2 linked regions of the Drosophila melanogaster genome follow. The protein of the gene in region 1 purifies or fractionates together with the protein of each later gene. This does not show direct contact. Each region holds a gene or a part of one and is shown on either strand. Other genes may lie near its edges.

Region 1 (6,025 bases):
CTGATGAAGGTGATGAAGATCCGCCGCTTCCGCACCTTTGGCATGCTGAAGCATCTCAAGCCGCACTTTCTCGATTAGATCAGATCCGCCCTCCGATCCTCTCCAGATGCAAATATATGTGTATGCCTCTCCGCCAGCCTGGTTTACCAATCCCCTGTAACTTTCGGCTCCGCCTGGATTTGTTTGTTCCACAACCTTTGATTAAGATTTAGTTGACGCATGTGTTTAGCATTACCCTAATTAGGACGGGTTTGCACATTATGCACTTTACGGCATTTTAGGAATAGTTCAGATGAACGGAAAATTACAAAAAAAAAATCGATTATAATACATAATGTGTATGATTTTTTTTATGACAAACTCGTGTAGTTTACATTTTATAAAATATCAAAGAAAAACATAACAAGTTTAAGGCAAGTACCGAGTAATAAAAAGAGAAATAGACGAGTGATGCATCTGAAAAATACGAAAGCAACTTTTCCTGGTTTTCATTTCGACGGGGCTGCTGGGGGAGAAATCAATCAGTGGAACAGATCTAATTGCTCAATAAAGAATCCCTTTTTTATTGTTTTGCGTTTCTCACAAATTTCTTACAAACATTTTTCACTTTTTCTAATATACATATTAGGTGTATATGCAGTGTATATATATATATAATTCTCGATCTGATATATATGCCAGCGTGTATATAATTGAATAAATGGAATACCTTGCACTGCTGTTCCATTAACGCTCTCGGGACGAAACGAAAGTACAAAAGTATAATCATAATCATAAGCGGGGGCCATAAACATTAACAAATTAAGTACGTAAACAATACGAGAGGTTAAATCGATCACTTATTGCCCAGCTGTCGTAGCTCAAAAAAGGGATTAGTCAGGAAAGTCGTTAACATTAAAATGTACATGGATTTCACGCGAAAAAGTTATAGAAATGTAATGCAAATATGCTAGAAACCATTATACAAGTCAATTCCCATTAAATATATTATCAATTCCGAATTAGAAGTATACATTTAGAGAACTAATCGCGTCTTTTGAGCTACTGCAGTCTGATTGACAGGCGTTCGAAGTATTTAAAATAAATTCAAGTAACTGGCTACAAAAAATGTTGATGGGGATAAATTCTTGGGGCAAGATTAGTTTTGGGGATTAGAGAGTCATGTTGGATAGGTGAACGGAGAGAATACTCCTGCGGCTAAAGCGAGTGCTAAATACTATGTCGAAGACTTTAAATGCTAACGAAAAGCAACCAAGAATTCCGCTCGAGCTAAACTAAGCAATACAATGGTAATAGTAACTTTGTGTTCTCCTTTCCGTATCCTTTTGTGTTTTCCGTGTGTGTGTGTGTCAACAATTGTTTTAAATAGTTTTACTTCTTCGCAAAGACAATACTTTCGTTGGCGTTGTTGTTTCTTCTAATTGCTGGTGTTATTGTCCGCATCCGCCCGCCTTGCGTCCTAGTAGCGGTAGTAGTTGGGCTTGAAAGGACCGGCCTTGTTCAGTCCCATGTACTTGGCCTGCTCGTCGCTCAGCTCCGTCAAATGGGCATCGAAGGTGGGCAGGTGCAGGCTGGCAACATACTCGTCCATCTTCTTGGGCAGCAAGTAGACATCCGACTTGTAGCGTCCGGGCGGGGCATTGAAAAGCTCGATCAGGGCCAGGGCCTGGGTGGCCGAGGTGATAGACACGGCGAACGAGGGGATGCTGGAGCAGCTCAGATTGACCAGCCTGCCCTCGGCCAGAAGAATGATGTACTTGCCCTCCGGCCAGATAATGTGATCCACCTGGGAGCGCACCTTCTCCCAGGTCAAGTCCGGTGTGCGCAGGCCATTCACATCGATTTCCGTGTTCGAGTGGCCCATGTTGCATACGATGCAGCCACTCTTCATCTTGTCCATGTGCTCGCGCACCACCACGTTCTTGTTGCCGGTCGCCGTCACCACAATGTCTACGTTGCGGATCACCTCGTTCAGCTTGACCACACGGAAGCCATCCATACTGGCCTGCAGGGCGCAAATGGGATCGATCTCTGTGATGTACACAATGCAGCCCTACGATTGGAGATTGAAAAGGTGACAAAGGTATATCATACTAATGGTTGTGGGTGCCATTTACCTGCCCCTTTAGAGCCTGAGCACATCCCTTGCCCACATCGCCGTAGCCACAGACCACGACCTGCTTGCCACCGAACATCACGTCCGTGGAGCGCTTGAGGCTGTCCAGGATGGATTCCTTGCAGCTGTAGAGGTTGTCAAATTTGGTCTTTGTCACCGAATCGTTGACATTCATCGCCGGCACTGTCAGCTTGCCGGCCTTAGAGAGCTGATAGAGACGGTGCACTCCGGTGACGCTCTCCTCGACGATTCCCTTGACCAACTTGAACATGGTCGGGTACTTTTTTAGCATCAAGTGCGTGGCATCGCCGCCATCGTCCAGGATCATGTTTGGCTGCCAGTTCTCGGCGTTAACGCAGCGATCTATGCACCACCAGAAGTCCTCTTCCGTCTCGCCGCGCCAGGCAAAGATCGGGATTCCGGATTCGGCCAAAGCAGCAGCCACTTCGTTCTAAAAATAATAAGCAACGATATTGAGTTGTTTTAATAATGACAGTCCTTGAAGGCTAATAAAATGATTGTCAAACAGGTAAAACCCTCGAGAGTTGGCCTGATAAATCGAGTCACCCTAATGCGGCGTAAACATTTGCTAATATCTGACTTATATCGAGCTGATAACGCATCGGGCTCCATTCTCGCTAAGCACGGCACTCGTAGCTTGGCTGATAAGTCCCAGCCGATACAGGTGAATCAGCGTGACAGGCTGTCGGGGGCCGTGGGCGATAAAAGCTGGCACGGATGGGTGCATAAATGATCGGGGAAGGGCGCTCGCCCTCGCACTCGCATCGCTTCATTAGAGAAGCCATAAATTGTTTAGCGTCAGCAGACTCGTGATAATTGCATCAGCCACGCCGCAGGAATAGGCAAACAGATCGAGTAACCGCAGCCGATCCAATGCTGGAACTAAAACTGCGTCCGTAACTTCCACTCCCAATGGTATGGCGACCCAATTCAGGGCACATCAATTACTCAGCGATTGCCAAACACTTGAGCCGCGGGCGCTTAATTGATTAACATGGCTTGATTGATCATTTGTTTGCGTCGCCTGGCGTGACAACAATTGTCTCCAAGCGACCGAGCAGATCAAGTGACCGAGCACGCATATGCATATGAATTTAAATAAATATAGGAAAATGAGTTAAGATATCTCTTAAGAGATTCCATTAAATGCATTAAGCAGCCTATGAATACGTAAGAACCCTATGACATTTTCATACGACATCTCACCTGCGTGGAGTAGATGTTGCAGGCGGCCCAGCGCACGCTGGCGCCCAGTTCCACCAGCGTCTCGATGAGCACGGCAGTCTGGGCGTTGATGTGTGTGCAACCCACGATCTTGGCATCCTTCAGAGGCTTGTCCTCGGCCGCCCGCTTCTTCAGCGCTATGATGCCCGGCATCTCCTGCTCCGCAATCTCGATCTCCCTGCGCCCAAATGCATGCTGGGCGCCTATGTTCCTTACACAGAAATCGGAGCTGCCTTTGGAGTTCTTTTGGACCTTCTCCCTGGGCGGCACGTCGTCGCCATCCTCGCTGCTGCCCGTGTAGCTGGCGGAGCTGAAGGAATCCGTTGAGGAGGCACTAAGCGAGCGGCTCCTGTACCGACTTGTCTTCTTCAGAGCCGAGGACTGCTTGGTGGCCGGCGGAGGAACCACCACGCTGGCATCCTGCGGCGCCGGTCCAGCCTGCTGCTGCTTGTCGCCGCCTCCGAATCCAGGATCAACTACCACAGTGTCTGCCAGGTTGTTCATGGTGGAAGTAGAGGGTAATCTGGGGATTTCCTTACTATCCCTTAAATTGGCTCCTTGCTCTAGCTCCTAGTGTTCCACCTTCTGCGACTCCAGAGCTTGCAATCCTTTTCCGCTGCTCCTTTGAATGGGCGCCTTGGATGTTATGTAAAGTCTGAAATCCAAGCAGGATGCGCTGCAAATGGCTAGTGGTGTGGCCTGGGTCTATACGAACTGCACAATCACGTGATTTATCGACGTTGTGGAGACCACAAATTGCTAAATTAATTGTTTTTAGTGCGAGTCTCCTTTGTTTCACCTCTCCACTATTGTTTTTGTTCTTCTTCTTCTTTTGCGAATGGGGGGCTACACTTTGGATCCGGGGCTTGATGGGAGTTTCCGGAGAGGGGATGATGATGCAGCCGTCGGCTTTCGGGCGACGTTGTTTGTGTGGCGACCAAGTGGGGGATCGTTTGGCGATCGCTTATTGAATTTGATTTTATCCGGAGAAAAGAGAACTAAACCGAACCGAGGACAGTAAGCGAGACACGCGAAAATACCAAAAGCAGAAGGCGTTAGTGCTATTCTGCAAGTGTGGTAAGTTCCCACTGAAGAAAGGCCAAAGTAACGACTTTTTAACTGAAATCGTCTAAAAATTAATTTTTATAATTTCTTACCATTAATTATGTGTTTATTTTTTAATGAGCAAAGTAAATAAAGTGTGATTTACAACTCCTCAGCTGCAAGTCTTTTAAATCTGGTAGCTGGATAATTTAATGAGTCAAAAAGAAATTGGCAAAGTATTCGAGGTTTATTAAAAACAAATAGTTAACACATTTGGCCTACATATCCTCCTGTAGGTAGCCGCACAGCTCGTAGTCGTCCGCCGTGTTGACCAAGTGCGCTTCCCTAAGAAGGCCCTCCTTGTAGGTCTGTCTCTTGACAATCAAACGCGACAATTCCTCCGGTGCAAGTGGTCCTTGCTTGGCGTGTTTCTGGATGAAGTCCGCCGCCAGTTGTCGATCCACGACGGACATCTCGAGGCTGCGACTCCAGGCGAGCAGGGCCAGCGGTCGCTGCGGACTCAGAGCCAGCGAGGGTGACACCAGATGGCGATACAGACAGCCACCCACGATGTCTTGCAGCTGCTTCACTTGGCCGGGAAAAGCGCAGGGATGGTAGAGCATTACGATGGCACCTTCCGCCAGATTACGCACGTATCGCTGAGGAGGCAAGTAGGAATAGGTGCCATATTCAGCGGGCATCGGGCGATAGGGGCCACTGATAATACAGATTTGAATTTGAAATTAGCAGGAAACTATAATATTGTTCGCCTTACTTGGTGGCAGGCAGATGGGAGTAGCTAATGGACTCATTAAGGCACTTGGCAGGCGGCAGATAGGCGCTAGGTAGAAAGTGCTCCGTAAGAATGGCTTCTCTGGACAAATCCGGTTGGTACAAGCTGTGATTACTACTGATGCATAGGAAATTCAGGCTGTCACGGATGTCGTTTGGATCGAAGTCCACGGCAAGATTGCTCTGAAAATTGTTAATAACAATGATAGAAAAAGATGACTAATACTAAGCATTCATCGGTATTTAGGGGAAGTATTAGTTATATTGCCAAACTCACCTTGCCATCATCACAGCTGCTTTGTTTAGTCTTGTGCGATTCATTGGGACCCTGCGGAAACAATTTACCCTGCCAAGTATCCTGTGTGGTGGACTTCCCCGACTTGGTTTTGTTATCGACCAGCGGTTTTTTCTTCACCAAGTGCGGCTCTCCGGGAGCTTGTGGAAACCACTTGCCCTGCCAGCCATCCTTGGTTGTGAACTCCAGCGGAGGAACTTCCTCCGTGGTGCTCTTCATTTTTAATTCAATCGCTTCCTGCTGTTGTCCAGGGGCATGGGGAAACCACTTGCCCTGCCAGCCATTCTTGCCGGGCGTCGCACCTAATGGAACCTGCACACGTTGCACATCATTGGAAATGTCGGGTGGGGACTTCCCAATCTTCCCTAGCTTCTCATCAGGATCAAGAGTTGGCTCCAACAGATTGGCCTGCGACTTCTTGATGGATTTCGCATCGATGAGGGCGAACCCAAGGCACAAGAGGGTCAAGTAATGCCAAATAAACATAATAATTGCAAGCAAAAGAAAAACAAAAGCGCAAAATAAGCAAACAA
Region 2 (5,169 bases), on another chromosome or scaffold:
GCAGGCCGATGCCCTGGGCGCGAATGCCAAATACAATGGCTTCATCGACTGTGCCATGAAGGGCTTTAGGAACGAGGGACCGCAGTACTTCTTTCGCGGTCTAAACTCCACCTTGATCCGGGCTTTTCCGATGAACGCCGCCTGCTTCTTTGTGGTGTCCTGGGTACTGGACATCTGCAATGCCAAGGGCGGCATGGATTCCGTAATGCATTCCGATCAGCCACTGACTCTCGTCAACCTAGACAACAAGAGCCAAGCGGACTTGGAGGCGACGGCGCCAACGGTTGAGGAAGTGGTGCGCAAAATAATCACGGACAATGCCATGTCCCATCAGTATGTGTCCACGCCAAAGGATGTCGTTCACAGCCATTACACGAGTAGCACAATCAACATTCCCAAAGAATCTAAAGCACGTTTAGCATCCGATTGTAATTTAAAATAAAGTATAAATTGTTTAGTACCTTTATAAATGCGCTTGTTGAAGGTAACAGCTATTTGAATTATTCATAATTTAAGTTTATTTCAACGTAGTGATATTACAATTAAATACAATATATTAGTCTATGTGAATGCTTTTAAGAACCGCAGGACATGCAGGCGTCCTTATTTTCGAGCGAACAAACCATATCGGCCATTTTCCGTTCCCTATCCTCTTCGTACTTTTGGGGGCTTCCCTCGGCGGTGCCATTCTGGCCATTCATGCTCACTGCACCCTGCTTCTTGTTCACGGTGAACTGAATGGCATTCGCAGCTGGCTTGGTGCGCAGATAGTACATTCCGGTTTTGAGACCAGCTTTCCAGGAATAAAAATGTATGGAGGTCAGCTTTCCATAGTTTGGCTCGGCCACATGTATGTTGAACGACTGACTCTGATCTATGAACGCACCACGATCGGCGGCCATTTTAATCGTGGACTTGACCGAGATTTCCCACACCGTCTTGTACAGATCGCGCACCTTCGGGGGTATGGTCTCAATGTTTTGGATCGATCCTCTGCTGGATATGATCTGGTTCTTCATGTCGTCGTCCCACAAGTCCAGCTCGGTTAGGTCGCGCAACAAATGATGGTTGACCACCTGGAATTCGCCGGACAGAACTCGCCGGGTGTATATGTTTGTGGTGTAGGGCTCGAAGGATTCATTATTGCCCATTATCTGAGCTGTAGATGCCGTGGGCATGGGAGCAACAAGCAGAGAGTTCCGGACACCGTGCATCCTAATGGACTCCTTCAATTTCTGCCAGTCCCACAGGTTCGTTGGCACCTTGTCCCACATGTCGTATTGCAAAATTCCCTTGCTTACCGGGCTGCCCTCGTAGGTTTCGTATGGACCTTCGGTCTGGGCCAGTTCGCAGCTGGCTTCCAAGGCGCCATAGTAAATCGTTTCGAATATCTGCTGATTCAAGAGACCGGCTTCTTCGCTTTCGTACGGGAAACGCATGAGAATCAAAGCATCAGCGAATCCCTGAATACCAATGCCCACGGGACGGTGCCTCAAATTGGATTTCCTTGCCTCTGGCAGAGGATAATAGTTGATATCAATTATCTTGTTTAGATTTTTGGTAACTATCTTGGTGACTTCCTTGAGCTTCTTGAAATCATACGTCTTCTCCGGCGTTACAAACATGTTGAGGGCAATGGAGGCCAAGTTGCAGACTGCTATCTCATCCGGTGCGGAGTATTCTACGATTTCCGTACACAAGTTGCTGCACTTGATTGTGCCCACATTCTGCTGGTTGCTCTTCCTGTTGCAAGCGTCCTTGAACAGCATGTACGGATTTCCGGTCTCCACTTGCGCCTCAATGATGGCAAACCACAGGGATTGAGCCTTAACCGTTCGGTTGGCCCGACCCTCTTGCTCGTATTTCTCGTACAGCTTTTCGAATTCATCGCCCCACACGTCGTGGAGACCAGGACACTTGTGGGGGCACATGAGCGACCAATCACCGTTGGCCTCCACGCGTTTCATGAAGAGATCGGGTATCCACAGGGCGTAAAACAGATCGCGTGCGCGATTCTCTTCTTTGCCTGTGTTCTTCTTCAGTTCCAGGAACTCAAAGACATCCGAGTGCCAGGGTTCCAGGTAAATGGCAAAGGCACCGGGACGCTTGCCGCCTCCCTGATCCACATAACGTGCCACATTATTGAAAACCCTCAGCATTGGAACCAACCCATTCGAAGTTCCATTTGTGCCGCAAATCGATGTGCCCTTTGCACGAATGCAGTGTACGTTAAGTCCAATGCCACCGGCGGACTTGGAGATCATGGCGCACTGCTCCACAGACTTGAAAATGCCCTCGATGGAGTCGGCTGTCATGGTCAGAAGGAAACACGACGACAACTGCGGCCGGTTTGTGGCAGCGGCAAACAGTGTGGGCGATGCATGCGTGAAGTAGCGCTCCGATAGAAGATTATAAGTTTCCACGGCCGCATCGATATCCTCTCCATGGATTCCGATCGCCACGCGCATCAGCATATGCTGCGGTCGCTCTGCGATCTTTCCGTTTCTTTTGAGCAGATAGGAACGCTCCAGGGTCTTGAAGCCAAAATAGTTATAGCCAAAGTCACGATCATAGATTATGGACGAGTTCAGCCGTGTGGCGTTCTTCTTAACCACATTGTAGTGAAACTCGGATACCAAGGGCACTTTTTGATTCGTCTCCTTGTTTACATGATTATACAGATCCTCGAAGACGTCTAATAAGAATCATGATTGGATTAACCGAAGAACTCAGAATACAAGCTATGAACTTACCAGAAAAAGCCTTCTTGGTTTCCTTGTGCAAATTGGACACTGCAATGCGAGCAGCCAGGATGGCGTAGTCGGGATGATTGCATGTTAATCCAGCTGCGATTTCTGCTGCCAAGTTGTCCAGCTCCTGGGTGGTCACGCCGCAGTACAGACCATTGATGACTTGCAGGGTGATAGTAACCTATAAAGATAAAGCATAATAACACATCAGGAAAACTTCCCAAATAATCTGCTGATAACTTATTACAAATGGTTTGTATATCTTGGGACTCCCACATGAGTTTCACCAGGGGCGCTCGCACATTCTGTTGCAGATAAAATCAAACCCCATCACATATAAATACGCATCATACTTACTAGGTTCGAGTGCAACCTGTGTGATGAGCACCTTTAAACAATAGAAACAAACTTACAGGATCAACAAAATCCATGTTCAAGTTGTAGCAAAGCTTCTGGATTCTTGAGGTTATTTTATCGAAGTGCACCTCCTCCTGCCTGCCATCTGAAATAAATATATTAAGAACAGTCATAGCGACAAGGAATTGTAACCCACCTCTCTTAATAACATATAACTTTGAGGTTTTCATGGACTTGTTCTTCAACATCTTGACTGCTATATTTCACAAGAGGCGGCAAATTGATTGTTGCAAGCACAAAAAGGCGCCAAATTAAAGTCATTATTAGTGTTACCGTGCGACATGTTGATCAAATGCCGCACTTTCAAAACGCCTAACTTTGAAACGATCAAGAAACAAAATTATTTCGAACCGTTCCACTCACATTTATATCATATTCTTAAAAAATATATCATTTTAGATAATCAAATAAATATATAAATAACTGCTTGTATCAATACACAGGTGTTTTATAAAAACAAATTTAGTTTAGTGTTAATATAAATAATTAGTTGTATTTTTTATTTATTTAGCTTTATATAATTACATAAATATAACAGTGTTTGAAGAACATTTGAGTATGTGTTTTATAAACGGTCTCGGTAGATTGTTATCAATTATACAAGAGATTATAATATTTGTAAACAAGTTGTTAATAAAATATGCAATTTCAAGTGTTTAATCTAAATGGCCGTGTCTAACTATTTTATTGACTTGCTGTCCAGATTGCTGTTGGAAAACACTAGAAAGAAATATTAACATTAATACACACAGTTAAAATAAGATAATATTTGTATACATACAAAAAGTTATTTATTTTTTCGAGATCGTGTAATATATCATCTTGGTCCGAATTCAAATCGTCTCGCTCCTTAAGGCTCTCCAGTAGTGTGACGTTTAGGTTTTCAATATATTCCTGGAGATTGTTGACCAATAGCTGGAGAGTCGGAACTTGGATTCCAGTGAGCAGCTGCCTCGAAATCCATCGATGGTTGGAGTTCATTTTGATGCCAACATCACACAGCATTGATCGAATTACGTCCACAATGGGAGTTACGCCATGTTTCCTTGCCTACAAATAGATAATTACAATTACATTTGAATAAAAAATAAATAAATCCTGTGGAAAACACACCTTTACTTTCATCTGAGCTATTTCCTTCGATTGAGCTAGTGCTATTCTAACCTCTATTTGAAGTTTTGATTGATTCGCAAAGAAAAACAAGTTTTCATCCGACGGATAATCTGTTGTACCAATGGGATTGCCATTCATATGATTCATGCTTTTATCTTGGTTGATTTGGTTCTTTTGAAAGATTTTATCGTTTTCAAATTCCTTATTGCGTTTCGTTTCACAGAATTCAGATTGCTTGCGAAGTACTCCACTTGATAGTTTTGGACACGTCTCAGAGTCGGAGCTATAACTTTCATTATCGGATCCGGTTAGAAATTCCTCCTTCTTAATGTCTAAATATAAAATATAATATTTAAGAAAATATAGTAATGAAAGAATATCTTTGGTCTTACCATTATTTAAAGAATCTTTATCTCCGATTGCCAATCTCTTGCGTATCTCATCTCGATTGAATCGCCGCTGTAATTGGAATATATATTTAATAAATGATATTATTATTCCGATTATATTGTACCTACCTTTTTCTCTATCTGTTTAACCTTTTTATAATGGTTTTGCAATGTTTCTACATCCATATCGTTTGCAATCTTGTACGCATCAAATTGTTCTATAAAAATTTAAATATTAATATACTCAAGAATCTATAACGATTAATTCATATTTGAAATTACCTAAAACCATGGTGGAGCATGGATCTTTGGAGTACTTGATGGGATCTTCCAAGTACTGAGACCAGCGCGATTGATTTGAGTACTTCCGACTAGCCACCTTGTTATTGTCCTCGTCCAGATTCTGCTGGCTTCCACTTCCACCGATTTCCAAGCTGCTCATGTTGGGTATTTCAGCCTGATTTAGGTTCGGACTATCGTTTTTGTTCTTTTCCGGAACG

What was found.
Region 2: the proteins of AhcyL1 (region 1) and RnrL purify together in Drosophila melanogaster (affinity purification with western blotting, with the first as the bait; one study listed by BioGRID). This does not show direct contact.

Annotation. Positions count from the first base shown.
Region 1 is NT_037436.4:2,767,925-2,773,949, forward strand, and holds AhcyL1 (adenosylhomocysteinase like 1), read right to left. Parts: upstream 4,402-6,025; 5' UTR 3,866-4,401; coding exon 3,344-3,865; intron 2,568-3,343; coding exon 2,118-2,567; intron 2,054-2,117; coding exon 1,460-2,053; 3' UTR 542-1,459; downstream 1-541. Other genes in the region: Non2 (putative nucleolar protein 2), read left to right, coding at 1-78; CG12093 (uncharacterized protein), read right to left, coding at 4,684-5,122, 5,181-5,380, 5,475-5,978. UniProt on the Drosophila melanogaster protein: Might play a role in the regulation of methionine metabolism possibly by binding and inactivating Ahcy.
Region 2 is NT_033779.5:10,324,524-10,329,692, forward strand, and holds RnrL (ribonucleoside diphosphate reductase large subunit), read right to left. Parts: upstream 3,421-5,169; 5' UTR 3,356-3,420; coding exon 3,304-3,355; intron 3,253-3,303; coding exon 3,164-3,252; intron 2,932-3,163; coding exon 2,754-2,931; intron 2,696-2,753; coding exon 576-2,695; 3' UTR 503-575; downstream 1-502. Other genes in the region: CG4995 (uncharacterized protein), read left to right, coding at 1-442; Schip1 (schwannomin interacting protein 1), read right to left, coding at 3,824-3,887, 3,949-4,217, 4,281-4,612, 4,673-4,739, 4,799-4,887, 4,952-5,169. UniProt on the Drosophila melanogaster protein: Provides the precursors necessary for DNA synthesis. Catalyzes the biosynthesis of deoxyribonucleotides from the corresponding ribonucleotides.